2 linked regions of the Diceros bicornis minor genome follow. The protein of the gene in region 1 binds, or shares a complex with, the protein of each later gene. Links are inferred from orthologs where the notes say so. Each region holds a gene or a part of one and is shown in the gene's direction. Other genes may lie near its edges.

Region 1 (7,938 bases):
GAAAAAAAAAGTATGGTGAGTTGATAATTTTATATGCCTCATTATTTAGTGTATTCCTGCCAGTAGAGACTTCCGTTTTGATGAGGCATTAACGAGAACCAAATCTTCCACTTATAATTTTGCATGTCTCTGTAGACTAATTTTCTAAAGAATCGTATCTGATTCCATACATTTCAAACTTTGTTTCTCCTCCACTACCCACATCCTTCTAGTGCCTAGCATGGCTGGACACACTCAGACCACGATATGACCTCTGGCCTTGCATCTTCATATCCCAGAAGCTGGGCGAGTCAGCACAGCAAAAATATTCCTGGAAAGCATTCCTGTCATCAGGATGACTAACAATAACTTACACATATATCTTTTCCATTAAAGATTCCATTAAATTTCCAAATTAAATGTACCACCTCATTCAACTTCCATTTTGATCCCATAAGAATCTCGGCCAGTCCAACCCCCATCCAACATGAAGGGGGATGTATGACAGCGAGGAAAGTGGAGTGGAAAGGATAAGGGGCCCACGATAGGGAGGAGCTTTGAATCATTAACTTCTTTCGCTTCCCACATCATCCCTCTTGCTGGGGGCAACCCTGAGGAAAGAGGGGGATTACCTTCCCAAAGCAGAGGATTCTAAAGGGATCCCCTCACACAGGCACTTAATACACTTCACGCATTTAATACACTTCACGTTGTGACACGTGGCAGTTTATGAGAGCCCAGTTACATAAACTCATAGACTATATTTTCCAGTTTTAACTAAGTTAACCATCACAAAATGCCTGAGTGTCTTAAAAAGAATCCTAAGAAATAATGGTTCATAACTGATACTAACAATGAAAGTACAAGTGAAAGACAAGAAAATGGCAGCGTCAACACTTGTCTACTTCTAGTACGAATTCTGGTCAGCCACATAATGAGATGAAAACAATGATGATTCAATCAGACTTAACAGGAGGAGGCCTCAAAATTTCAAGAAGACTGTTTGAAATTTGGATTTACATCCACTAATGATAATATGAGGTCATTATGATTAGCAAGACACTTAAAAATCCTGTTTATTTCATCCTTTAAAATATTTGTATATGTGTTCATGGTATAAAAATGTTCCATAAAATGCCTTAATAAAATAATATTTACATTTATATATATTATGGCTGCATGTTTAAAAATGTCATACTGACAGGGGTGAGAGTTTTAAAAAAAGTTTGGGGACTGCAGGGCTAAATTATGGCCTGTAGTCTGTCAGAACCAAAATCATGTTCCTACAGAGATTACAGCATTGGTTTATTTGGAGTAGGTGGGAATGACAGCATGTGTTAAATATTTATGGATTTGGATTTGCCTTCCCAAACCATCAGGCGTTTGTCTGTGTGTTGTCATCCAATAGGTGGAATGTGTTGGACAACCTTTGGGTGTCTGCTTAGCTCAAAGCAACCGTCTTTCACTGACAATTCTCCACCCTTTCCTAACTCATATAGTGGAATTTGTAAGGTGTTTTTACTCTGCCACCCCACCCCCTGAGACAAACTTCATTGGACTAGGAGTAGACGCCTATAAAAACTGAGCTAATCAGTTGCTTTCTCCATAGATTTTGTAATTAAACTAAGACATATGGCCATTTTCTTGAATGGTGGTTATTTGAACTCTGGAGCTGAGGATGCCAGTGTTGCATAGCCACGTGCATGGAAAAGGAGAGAAAACTCTTCTATAAAGAGAAGCAGCAGATGGACAGAGAACCTTAGAACATTATCTCCTTTCCAACCTCTTTGCTACTCTTCTTAAATATTTTGATTTTATATTGTTTATATTGTTGGAGTGATGCGACTGTGGGCAGGGGGCCACAGCTAAAGAATGTGGGCAGCCTCTAGAAGATGGAAAAGGCAAGAAAATGGATTCTCCTCTAGAGTTTCCAGAAGAAATGCAGCCTTGCCAACACCTTGATGCTAGCCCAGTAAGATTCATTTTGGACTTCTGATCTCCAGAGCTGTAAGAAAATAAATTTGTGTTGTTCCAAGCCCCTACATTGGTGGTAATTTGTTATAGCAGCGATAGGAAACTCATGCAGCAAGGCTAGAAGGAAGTTCCTCTGCAACATTTAACGTACCATTGCCAAATTCCTTCCAAGGCGCCTTGGACTTTCAATTCTATGTAGATTTGAATAATTTCAGAACTGAGAGTGACCTTCATGGAGGACTTGAGGTTGGACTTGTCTAAGGTTTCTTGGCTAGTCAGTTGTAAAGCCAGGACAAGAACCCAAGTCTCCAATCTTTCATTTATTTACATTAATGACTAGAAGATGTCTAACAAAGAGGCTGGTACGTAGAAGGTACCCAGTGGTAGAGTTTTGTTGTTCTTGTCATTATTATTATGCATTTTTCTTTGTAATCTATAATAATATGTCATTTTTTGAACATTGCCAAGTAAAGAGGTACCCAGTAACATTTTAAAATTATCAAAAAGCCAACCAGGTAGTGAGTGATGAATTACCTGGCCAAGAAGCAGAAGAGGATAGGGTCTATACATTCAGAGTGCTTTTGCCCTGGGAGCATTTTCAGATTCAAAAGATATCTACGGGAACAAAACATGGAGTCTAGGACTTGTCAAGAGTGGTGACTCTGGTAAACATGTTTTTGGCCAGTACTCAGAAGGACAGTACCCTAGGAGGTAAGGGCGAACCAAACTAAATCAGTCCCCCCAAGGTTCCCAACCATCTGGATTAGAGTGATCCTGTTTGTTGGTGCCCTCAGGTGCCTGCCAGAAGAAAATGAAAATCCTGTGGAAAAAAAAATCATCATAGGTCTCACATTATTTCTTAAAGTGTTTCAGTTACAATGTCCAGCATACGAAGATAGGTGACAAGACAACATGAGTGAGGACCAGCATAAACAATACACAACAAATAACTAGAACAAAGAATCAACAACAGACCCAATGGGACTCCAGATACTGGAATTATCAGAGACCCAGAAAGTACACCAATGATGCCTACTATATTCAAAGAGATAAAAGTCAAGACTGACAATTTTGGCAAAGAGTTAGATACTATAAAAATGAATCTAATAGATTTTAAAAACAATCAAATAGAAATTCTAGAACCTAAAATTACCAAAAAGAAAAAAAACTTAATAGCTCAGTACAGGAGTTTAACACCATAGGAGAGAGAATTAGTAATCTAGAAAATATAAAAAGGAGAAGGTAAGAGAAACAGTGGATAGGAAAGATCTAACATACACTTAACTAGCGTTATAGAAGGAGAGAAGAAAGAGTGGGGCAGAAGCAATACCAAAGAGGTAATGGCTGAAAATTTTCCAGAACTCATGAAAGGCATCAATCAATATACTCAAGAGGCCTGCCGAATCCTAAGCATCACAAACAAAAACAAATACACTTCCAAACATAAATAGTAAAAGAGCAAAAAATCAAAGTGTAAGAGAAAAACATCTTAAAAGCAGCCAGAGAAAAAAACCGTATGTCCTGCAAAGAAACTGACAGTAGACTTTTCACAGGCAACAGCGGAAGCCAGAATCTTGGAATGATTTTTAAATGTACCTAAAGAACATAGACAGCTCCTATCGGCACATCTCCTTCTCGCACTCTCTTGCCTCTCTCTTTCACTTATCAAAACCCTTGTGATTGCTTTGGGCCCACCAGGAAATCCAAGCTAACCTCCCTACGTCAAGAACCTTAAGCACATCTGCCAAGTCCCTTTTGCCATGTGAGGTCACATATTCACAGATTCCGTGGATGTGGACATCTACGATGGGTGATTATTGTGCCCATCTCATTATCGATCTAAAATACGCTCTTGCCCTTTATCATGCGACTCTTCCTCTTTAAAGCTCCATGGGAAAAATCAGTATTTCCAAGAAGCATAAGAGATAGGGCATTTTGCGTATTAACTCGTTTAAACCACCATCAACGTTCAGCCTTGGTGAGGTGAATATTACCACCCCGGTTTTAAAGGTTCTGAGACTGAACATGGGAGACATCGGGTAACTTGATGAGGTCGTCCAGCTGGTCAAGCGTCTGACTGGAAATCTGCACCCCGATCCCCAGCTTGGTCTCTAGGACTCCCACCAAGCTCTTCCCACCACCCCAGGCACAGACGGTGCTCGGCTCATCACCGTGTGAATGGCTGCTGGCCAGTCCCCGGCTCAGGAAACATGCTCTCACTTGGTGGGTTTTTACACGGGTGAAAAAGAAATAAAGAATGGGGGAAGGTTTCAAGCCGGACTGACATCTTGGAACCAAGCACTGGTGGCAACAGCTCTTTCTTTATTGACCACGCGACCCCGGTTACAGCTCTTCAATTCCTCAGGCCCCAGCTCCCCCGCTGTGAGATGAGACGTCCGGGTCACGGCACTTTTCCCGTCCCCTGCCCGTGGGCACTCCAGGAGTCGGAGCCCCGCCTGAGGGGCCGCCACCTTGCCGCGCGGGCTCGAGACGGCGGCACTCGGCCACGGGGGACGAGGCGGCGATGCAGGACGACGACGGCAGGAGATGGGGACGGAAACAGGAACGGCTGCCAGCAGCCGAGATAACGCCGCGGGTTTCTAGCGTTTCCGAGCAGACGACGCTCCGCGAGGCCGAGGGCGCAGGGAGAGCCGGCCTCGCCCTCAGGCGCCCCCGGCGTCGCGTGACACACACCGCTTGACCCTCGGCTGTGCGAGATGCCGGAAAACTGAGGAATGAAAACACTACAAAGCGCCCGAGCGCGCCGGAGGCGACGTGGAAACACGTCCCCGGAAACCAGCGCGGCGCCCCCGCCCCCGGCCCGGCCCGGCCCGGCCCGGCCCCACAAAGAGCCGCCTCGGCCGCGGGGCCGCCGCTGTCCCCTCAGCGCGCCCCCGCGCCCCCCGGCCGCCGCCCCCGCGTCCCCGGGTCGCCGCCCCCGCCGCGTCCCGCGGGCCGCGGAAGTGACGCAGGCGCCCCGCCCCCGCGTCGACCCGCTGCTCTGCCGCGGCGGGCGGACCTGCAGGCGGCGGGCCGAGGCCGAGGAAGATGGCGGACGGCGTGGACCACATCGACATCTATGCGGATGTGGGCGAGGAGTTCAACCAGGTACGCGGGCCGGGCGCCCAGGCGGCGGCCCGCGCGGGGGCCGGGCGGGCCGGGGCTGCAGCGTGCGCCCGCGCTCCGGCCCCGCGCCGCCCACCCGGCCGGCCGGCGCGGCCCCTCGTTCCACCGCGTCGTTGCGCGGGCGGCGGGCGCCGGGGCCGGGAGCGGGGGCCGGAGCGGACGCGGGCCCGTGCAGCCGCCGCCCCTCCCCGCTCGGCCCCGCCGCGCTCCCATTGTTGGCGGCCGGCGCGCTTCCCGCCGCGTAGGCCCGGCGCGGGCCGCGTGTGCGCGGAGGGGAGGCCGGGAGGCCGGGCGCGCGCCGCCCCCGCCCCGGCCCGGCCTCCCGCTCGGGGGGCGCCCCGGTCCTTTGTGCCCCGGGCCGCCCCCCCGGCCGCGCAGAGGCCGCTCGGCGCGCACGTTCGCGGAGGGCTGGGCGCGCTGGGGGCCGAGGCCCGGCCGAGCCGGCCGCGCAGGGTCGAGACAGGACGCCCGCGTCTCGAGGGCCGTTCCGAGGCGCGGTGGCCGTGGCGGGCTCTCGGCGGCCGGCGGGCCGTGCGGCCGGGTCGGGCCGGGCGGGGGCGCAGACCCTCCGCGCCGCGGCTGCCCCCCCGGCGGCGCAGCGCGCGTGTCCAGACGTCGGCCCCGCCGCGCCGCGCGGAGAGCTTTACTTTTGTATTTTCCAGGTCCGTGTGCGAAGCCTAATAAAATGCTACTGGTTCGTGGTTTGGGGTTTTTTCCCCCCTCCCTAAAGGACCTTATTTGTGGCGGGGGCTCAAGGTTTTTTAAAAATAGGGAAAGCTAGAAATCGCCACCGTTTCCCCCCCGCCCCCGGAATGACTTTGTGCCCTGGTTTAAATATTAGGAAAGGAAAAAATTCTCAGTTAGCTTTAAATGTGTCCTGCCCCCTTAAAGGCTGGATGTGTTTAAATGTAACCCATTGTAGTCAGACATTTTTAAAATCTTTGTTCCTTTTATTGTGTTTATATTTTGGCTGTGTGATGCCCGAGTTGTGTCAGTGACAAATTTAGACATTATCTTAGTGCTGCACAGATTCTAATGCTTTTAAGTCAGCAGACAAAGAGCTCTAGGAAATTTCTTTTGATTTGTTGAATGAGTATAACATTCCATCCAAGAGAGGGCCATGCCTGCAAGTCAGGGAACAAGTAAGTGTTCAAGCCTGTCCTCATTAGCGTTTCTTACAAGAAAATACGTCTGCTTTGCGTTTCTCTCCACAACGAAGGAAGAATTGGGGTCGGTTTTAGAAGTTGAGCTTTTTTCAGGACGTCCTCATGAAATCTTCTCTAGGCTTTCGCATACTTAATTTGGGGTGGGCGTTTCTCTAATCTATATGGCTGGATGGGGTGGTCCTTGCTTATCTCTGTGCAGTAACTAGTGCTGACTGAGCAGGAGGTAAGAAGAGATTAAAATTTTGTGGTCCTAATGAGGAACAACTTTGTAGGGTTCTTTTAAAAATGTCACTTTCTGTTTACTTGTACCTGTAGCATTATAGCTCACACATAGCTAGCTGTATGATTTTACCAGTAAAATCTTTATACTTTTGAATAGATTAATGGGGGGATTAAATAGTGGCTTCGTTTTTGTTATTATTTTGCATATCGTTGGCCTTTGTAATCTACTGCCTGCTGTGATAATTCCTATACAAAATATGGCCACAGAAGGATAGTTGATCGTTTTCATGGTTCATCCTGTTTTTTAAAATGTTACTGTCACTGAAATATTTTTCTGAAGTTTTATCAGAATTAGAGGCAACTACAAAATTATTGCTGATTGATTTAATTTGCACTGTTATTAGCTGGTGGCTTTATTCCTACTGGTTGCTATAGTAAACTATGGCTCTTATTTTATTGTAGTTGAGTAAAATGTTTTACCAAGTATAACCAGTCTTGACTTACTTTGGCTTTTAAACTGCTAAACGTTTAAAAAATCTTTATTCTTCAAAGTGAGCTGCAGTTTTATTTGCATCTGTATACTTTGAAATTCTCTGTAATCTATGTGTTTGCCATTTTTTTCTATTTTAAATGGTCGTACTTTTATGAAGCTTTTCATGTGTGTCTGTATTTTGCTAAAGCACAGTATAAACCTATTTCCAAAAGTGTAAGGCATTCAACTGTTTTAGAAGAATCTTTAATTTGAGGATGAGATGAGAATAAGTTGGTGAAACTGTAGTAGAGTTTCTTTCTTCACCAGATGAATTTAAGAATGGAGAGTCAAGTTGGAGAAGGGGAGAAGGCACAAGGGACTCGGCTGTTCTTTGTGGGTGCTCTTTAGTTCTTAAATTCAAGGTCTTCAATGTAACCAAATTGAGAACAGTTGCTCCAGTGGAAGGAGAATTTGAACTACTTCCAAACCTGTACATTACTTGAATTTGGAGTTGAGAAGAAAGAGGTTCTGTTTCAGCCTCTTTAGTTATATCAATTCACTTTGAACTGGGATTTGAACTCAAATGTAGTATTTATTAGCCTAATATTTAATAATTATAGACTTTTTAATTTTGACCAGAACTACATAAAAAATTTTAAAACTCAATTGTTCCAAATAGGTTTTTTGAGTATCTGTAGTCTGCCAACAAGGACGGATATTAAGTTTAGATAGTCTCTACCTTAGAGTGCACTGCAGTGGGGGTGAGAGACGCCTACATAATTATAATACCCTGACAGGTGGTATATTGTAGAATCCACTCTTTTATGTGTATCTGTATCTATAGAATTTTGTTGCTGGGGGAGAGGAAAGTCAAAAATTCTGTGCACTTCAGGAAAGCTTATACTGTGTGCATTGAAGTAGTGTGTACTTTGCCTGTTTGGGGATCAAAAGCTCTTACTGTAGAATTTAGTTATTGATCTGTCTGGCGCTAGGTCACTG
Region 2 (7,143 bases), on another chromosome or scaffold:
AGAGGAATGGGTGGTAGTTGAAGGGGAAAGTTAGACCAACAGCACTTTTTTCTTCTTAAGATGAGAAGAACTAACCGTACCAGCTTTTTTTTTTTTTTGTATGTTGAAGGGAATGATCCAGAAGAGAAGGAAAAATTGATGCAATTTCTTCATCTGTAAAACAGGAATAGTAATGTATGTCCTTCATAGGATTGTTGAGGATTTAATGAATTAATAAATATAAAGCACTTAGCATGGCATAAAGCATGCACTCAATAATGCTTGCTTTAAAATACATACAGAATATCAGGCTACTCCTAACGACAAACTTGGTTAGGGGGATTGGAAGATGTTATAGGCCCAATTATCAAGTCAACTCAGTACAAACAAAGAAAAAGAGATATAGGTGAAGTCTGAAGGGACAGGAGACTAAAAACAGGTTCTATATTTACTGTCTCAGGATGAAGTTCAGTCCCAAAGTGAGCAGAGTGAAAATTATTCACAGCAGTGCAGAGTTTCACCAAGCACCCATGGGGATCTAAAGTAATGGCTCCCTTGTTTTCTTCCTCACCACCCAGGGCCCTTTTTATTATTTTGCCTCGCACTGACTTCATAGCTAGAAGTATTTTCATCTACCAAATTGTATTAAGTAAAAACCACTTTGATTTCTCAATTTTAGTAATCAGAGATGCATATAGCCCTAAATCAACAAGAGGCCTAGTGTTACCAAAGTTGATACAATTACAAAGGCAGACAACTATGGTTTTTAATTAACCTATGCAACTTTACTATGGATACAAGTTAATTTTCATTAGATTTTCTGAATTATTAAGAATCACATCATTTGTGTATTTAACCTGGACTAATTCAATCATATGTACAAGGCCCAAAGATAGACAGATTGGGGGACACAACCAGCTGACCAAACAGTCAGCTCTGGAGATAACGGAGAAATCCATCATTTACTCTCTTACTCTAGATAAAGAGAAATCAAAGAAAACAAAATAATTCTTCACCTGTTTCATTTTTATTTTTCGTGATTTTAAGGGCTGCTGTCCTTGAGGTTTTATAAAGGATTTCCAAGAGTGATATATACCATGTACTGAAAGATATTCCCCCAAACCGAGGAAACCAATGACCTGTATTTCTATACCTAGACTGGGCCTGTCTTCTAAGAGTAGAAAAACTAGCCTTGATTTTGAGATAGTCTTTTCTGCCAAATTAAATTGGCCATCAAAAAAAGAATGGATCTAACTCTCTACAAGACATATTGCAATGCAGAGCATACTGCAATACACCAAGCTACCTAAAACAAAGACATGAACTCAAAAATCTAAATGGTTATTATCTTCTAATGTACAACTCTCTTCATTATACCACTCCCAAAAATGTACTTAACCCCTTTATTTCTAATGTACTTAATTACTGGCTTACTGTATTTCCTGACTATCTCATCATTACTGTTACCTCTATAAAGTCTTACAGGGTGGGAACTGGCAAAGACTCCCATATAATAATTATAGCACCTAACACAGAGTTAACACTCAGTAAGTTTATGTTAAATGAGTGAATGTTTTTAACAATGTCAAGGCAAGGACCCACCAAGGCAAACCCAACCTAACACACCCCAAGTCTAAAGGTATTGAGTGATTTTATAGATGCTGAATTTCTGAACTGGAAGAGCTGATGTGAAAGGGGCATAAATACCTGCTGGAACTTATATAAATCGTTATACTTTTCATGGAAGTCCAAGTTCAAAAGTTCCTTCTGCAGCCCTTCCAAGAAGTTTTGGCTTTGGATGAAGTTTGGGATCACGCAGTGAAGAAAGGGGTCCATGTCCATGACAATGGCTTCTGTGGGAAGGAAAACATGATCTATGGCTTTTTTCCTTTTGTATTTTTGACCCCTAAGTAGCACAGTAGAGAGAATACCAAAGGGGACGGTCATGAATTTTCTTGGGGGAAGAATTATACGCTCTTCTCTTTTTTCTTTACTGACTCAATACTACTTTGTGTGTGTGTGTGTGTGTGTGTGTGTGTGTGTGTGTGAGGAAGATCAGCCCTGAGCTAACATCCATGCCAATCCTCTTCTTTTTGCTGAGGAAGACTGCCCTAAGGTAACATCTATTGCCAATCCTCCGCCTTTTTTTCCCTTTTTCTCCCCAAAGCCCCAGTAGATAGTCGTATGTCATAGTTGCACATCCTTCTAGTTGCTGCATGTGGGACGCGGCCTCAGCGTGGCTGGACAAGCAGTGCATCGGTGCACGCCCTGGATCCCAACCCGGGCCGCCAGTAGCGGAGTGCGCACACTTAACCGCTCAGCCATGGGGTGGCCCCTGACTCGATACTACTTTTTAAAGATACTGTGCTTAGAATATTAGCCCATAAGATGAGTATAGGTGATGCCACTAAATTAAGTTTCCTGCTCTTTTGGGGGTTTTTTAATTCAATGATTACTTATTGAATTGAATGTATTTTAGATTAATTCATTTCCTCCAAATTTAAAATAAGAGCAGCAAATTAAAAATGAGAATAGCCATACTGCCTGGCAATTTTTCCCCAACCCTTTTCCTTTCCCCAAGTTACTATCAGAGGAAGTTACAACATACATACTTTTTTTTTTTTCTTTTAATCAGTTCAGGCATAACCTCCTTTAATTTGTTGATTTTTACCTCAACATTTTACCCACTGCCTCTGGCGGGAAGATTATGCACCTTTGCAATAATAATCACCACCACCACCACCTGCCAGGTGCCAGGCACAGTGGGGCTTTACATGCATTATCTCATTTAATCCTCCCAACAACGCGAAGGTAGACATTATCACTATCTTCATCCTACAAATGAGGAAATTGAGAAGTCCCTGAGTGGACAGAGCTTGCACTTTCAACACTAAGCTATCAGTTTCTATGTGCATCCAGAGCGCCCATGACTCTTCAAAGCACTTAACCGCTGAAACAAAAATCACAGCAAACTTGAGAAGAGGAAGCGTGATATATTAAGCAGAGTTCTTATGTATAAGGTGATATTTGAAGCAGAGGCTGGAATCCTTCAGTGTAGGCTCCTTCCCTCAGCCCACACACGTTTGCTTGCATGGGTCATGTAGTCGAACTACAGGCATGTAAAAACGAGTACGTTCAGGTGCCTGCTATCTGGCAGCTCACAACGTGCTCTGGCTACCCTATCAGAGGACAACCGAGCTTCACCCTCGGAGGAAAAATCGCATAAGCCACTCAAATACACGTCCAAAGGTTTACTGGTCTTTTTACTCAGGGAAACATTTATTGATGCATACATGCATTACCTTATTAATCTCATTCAGCATCTTTCCGAGGTAAACACTATCAGTTATCCCATTTACACAGGAAAGAACTGAAGTTTAAAAAAGTTAAACCCATTGCCCAACGACGCACCATCAGTGGAGAGGATTCTAACTCAGTAATCTCTAATTCCAGAATTCCACTATGAACTTCCATGCCCTCTACTTCCTGAAACTCCCTGGCCTACATGTCTTCCCTTCTCAGGTTTCTAAACCCAAACTGAACCTGGAATGAAAGGGGGCAGCAGGCCAGGCAAGAGGGTCGCAGGTGGCCAAAGTCACGCTCTCTCCAAGAGCCTCTTCCCTGGCGGCCCCGCTGCTCAGGAATCGGCTCGAGCGCCAGGACTTATTCAGAGGCCCCCAACCCCGCACAGAGGCTGCCCCTTCACAGCCCTCGGTTACCGTGACGGAACGGCGTCCTGCGGCTCCAGGCCTCAGCCACCTGCTTTTTCAAGGTTTCCTCCGTGACAGCGTCCGAAAACTCCGCCATCACCTCCTTCTTTCCCTTTTTCCCCGCCCTGCCCGGGCCGGGCTCAGCCGGCCGTTTCCCATTCATCTCCTCCTAGGCTACAGACCTCCGCCACGCTGATCAAGCAACTCTTTTCCTAGGGAGACTACAATTCCCAGGATGCCGCCTTCCAAGGGTCCCCGACGCCACCCAATAGGAAGGACCAAAGTAAGAGGAGGCGGAATCCATACCGGATTTACCAATGAGAGCTCCAGATATTGCGGCCGTCCCACCAGCGATTGGCCTAATGGCATGGCCGGCCGTTGCCTCTCTACTTCCTGCCGCCAGAGGCTGCGGATGCACTTCCGCCGTGCGTACGCCTCCTCTTGCGCTCTCCTGTTAATGGCGGGTGGCGGCTGCTGAGTGGGACGCAGTTAACCGCTGCTGCCACAGGGAAGGTCTCCCTGCCTCCCCCTTTCCGCTCGCTGCCAGTGCTCGAGCTCGCCAACATGTCCGTGGTGCCGCCCAATCGCTCGCAGACCGGCTGGCCCCGGGGGGTCAACCAGTTCGGCAATAAGTACATCCAGCAGACCAAGCCCCTCACGCTGGAGCGCACCATCAACCTGTAAGTGCGGCCTGGTCTCGCGCGCTGCCTTCGCCGGCGTCCCCTTCCTCGTGAGCGCGCCTCAAGACTCCAGTCTTCTCCTTCCGGCGCGCCACCGGCCCTCGGCGGGCTCCACGCTTCCCCGCACCCCCACTCTCGCGACTTTCTAGCTCCCGCAGGCTGTTTCCTTGTCCTCCAGCGCCAAGGGGTTCGAGTCGTACTTGAGAAGCTTTTCTTTTTCCAGAGAGATTTGTTCTCATGTCCCTGTGTTCAGTCATTGTAGGAACCCAGGTTTGCTTTGCACTCATCCTTTCTCCACCTCTGCAGAGATAACCAACCTCAAAACGTGGTGCTTATCCTTCCCGTGCATTGTTGATGCTTTCGCATCCCGTGTATGGCATCGTTTTGTGTGTTTTTATTTGATGGGAGTGGTATAATGTAGTATCGTTTTTGCAGTTTTCGCTCTTTTTCTGCCAATGAGCTTGCGAGATCTAGTTATAACGCGTAGGTTTAGTTTTTTCCCGTTATTGCTATATTGCATTTCAGCTCGTGAATGCACCACATTTTATTCGTCTGCTTAGTGCTGTCTGGCCTGCCCTGTCTTCTCTGCCGCAGCAGCAGCTTCCAGGCACCCAGTAGACCCCCGCATGGGAGGGTGGATGCTGTTATCGTTGGGCTTTCAGACCGTGGAGGGGTCCGGAACGTCGCCCCAGGGAACCCATTGAGGGCTGCGTTTTATTGTCAGCACCTTTCTGTGTAAGCCCTTTAAGCCGTTGCATTTCGAGGTCACTCAAAAGTAGCCTCGCTGTGGCAGGTAATTGGCATTTGGGCTCCGTCATGCTCAAGAAATTGTCAGTGTGCTTTTTTATCCTTTTTGAGAGGTCGTGAGGCACCGTGGTGCTGATCCAAAGGGAGGAAAGTGGTCAGTTAATGCTGGTCAGCGTTTAAAATGCGCAAGGATTTACTGATACTGGTATTTCAGTAGGACACTTTAGGTGTTTGTCTGTTTTATATTCAAGTAAATGAACTTTTCCCCCCCAAAAGCGATTTGAAATGGAAAAGATGGTTGTTATTGTTTTATTTGGCAAAACAGGTGCTGGCTTGACAGATTAGATAATAAGAATGTTGGGTTTATGAAATCTGGAATTAGTAGGTAGTTGTGTAGATACAAGTTAATATCTCTGTAGCTGCTAACGTAATTGCATTTTAATTTCATATCACTTCTTGTAAAAATCCTTTATAGATTTACATGAAGTGGAAGAGGCAAATGTTCTTTTAAAAAATGTGAAAGCACAGCTTCTGGATTACTTTCAGTGGTGATTAGAACTAGGACTTATGGTTTTCCCTCAGTTTGCCCTTCATTACTGGATCAGTTTGCATTAAGCCAGCATGTAGAATTAAGTTGGTGAAAATGTTTTCATTTTTGCTCCATTAAAGTTATGAGTTGATGGATTTACAATAGTTTTCCTCTCCTATATAAATATAGTGTTCAGAAATAATCATTGTGTTGTGAACTCAGTTCACCTGGGTGAGTAATGATCTAAATTGAAAACAAGTCCTCTCTCCCCAGTGTATTTTCTTTTAGGAAATACTGCATCAATGCCTACTTTGTACCAGGCACTGGGCATAATGCTGGGTATACAGTGGTGAGGAAATAAGCTGTAGTCCCTGCTTGACAAAGCTCACAGTATGATGGAAATAGTATGCATGTATCTGGGCTGGCACTCTGTTTTCACAGCTGCAGATTCTTACATTTCATCTTGATGGCGTCTCCTATTGATGTGAGAGCTGGCTCTTGCAGCAGAGATGTGTTATAGCTATCCTTAATTCCTTCTAACTCAGGTTATAAGAATTTGGTGTTAATATATATAAAGCGTTTTTTAAAATTGCCGGGCGGATAGTCCTGTGTGAGATTGTTGCTGCTAAAGACTATGTTAGATTCAGCATTGGGTCTTCTGGGGAAGACCTTTCTACAAATCTTTAAAGCACCCTGAAAATGGTGTATTTTATTTTATTTATTTATTTATTTTTTGTGAGGAAGATCAGCCCTGGGCTAACATCCATGCGAATCCTCCTCTTTTTGCTGAGGAATCCTCCTCCTTTTTTTCCCCAAAGCCCCAGTAGATAGTTGTGTGTCATAGTTGCACATCCTTCTAGTTGCTGTATGTGGGACGCGGCCTCAGCATGGCCGGACAAGTGGTGCGTCTGTGCGCACCCGGGATCCGAATCTGGGCGGCCAGTAGTGGAGCGCGCACACTTAACCACTAAGCTATGGGGCCGGCCCCCTGGAAATGGTGTATTTTAGAGCTGCTTCATTTATGCCTAGAATTTGACTTCTGGAATTAAAGTAATATTTTAGGTTTTGGCAACCTTGATTTGTTCCCCTTTCAAGCATAGCCGAGTGGATTAGTTATGTAGTTGTTGACTTTTAATGTCAAGGCATTTTGATAGAGTAGATACTTTGGGGATAGGCAAGTGTGGTCAAAGCATTCTTCTTACTCATAAGCTTATAATCAAAGGCTTTTTATGGTAAGGCTTAAGACCGAGGGGTTACAAGGTGGTACATGTGGTAAAATAGAACTATGGTATTTTTAACTATCTTCAAGGAAAAATTTGATCTTTACCAGGTAAGACAAAAACTACCTTCAACAATACGAGCCACGTTTTGAATTCTTGATAAAGGAGGAGAGAATATTCAGATTAGATATGGTGGGCAGAAGATTTGAATGAAGAGAAAGGAAGAATAACGATACTGAATAAAATAAATGCAGAAGGCTAAAAAAGATTTAGAGGGG

What was found.
Region 2: the proteins of CPSF6 (region 1) and NUDT21 are in contact, whole or in part, in a crystal structure (PDB 3P5T), measured with the Homo sapiens proteins. The link is inferred for Diceros bicornis minor from reciprocal best matches to the Homo sapiens genes CPSF6 and NUDT21. Residues at the interface, in NP_008938.2 of Homo sapiens: Trp90, Trp91, Thr92, Thr93, Asp94, Glu95, Lys113, Phe114, Glu116, Asn117, Arg118, Ala119, Asn120, Gly121, Gln122, Ser123; in NP_008937.1 of Homo sapiens: Pro151, Asn152, Glu154, Pro156, Tyr158, Tyr160, Pro162, Ala163, His164, Ile165, Thr166, Lys167.

What each region holds. Positions count from the first base shown.
Region 1 is NC_080756.1:2,090,520-2,098,457, reverse strand, and holds the start of CPSF6 (cleavage and polyadenylation specificity factor subunit 6), read left to right. Parts: upstream 1-4,936; 5' UTR 4,937-5,001; coding exon 5,002-5,061; intron 5,062-7,938. UniProt on the Homo sapiens protein: Component of the cleavage factor Im (CFIm) complex that functions as an activator of the pre-mRNA 3'-end cleavage and polyadenylation processing required for the maturation of pre-mRNA into functional mRNAs.
Region 2 is NC_080771.1:10,007,755-10,014,897, reverse strand, and holds the start of NUDT21 (cleavage and polyadenylation specificity factor subunit 5), read left to right. Parts: upstream 1-4,139; 5' UTR 4,140-4,253; coding exon 4,254-4,369; intron 4,370-7,143. Other genes in the region: prolyl 3-hydroxylase OGFOD1, read right to left, coding at 1,687-1,832, 3,699-3,852. UniProt on the Homo sapiens protein: Component of the cleavage factor Im (CFIm) complex that functions as an activator of the pre-mRNA 3'-end cleavage and polyadenylation processing required for the maturation of pre-mRNA into functional mRNAs.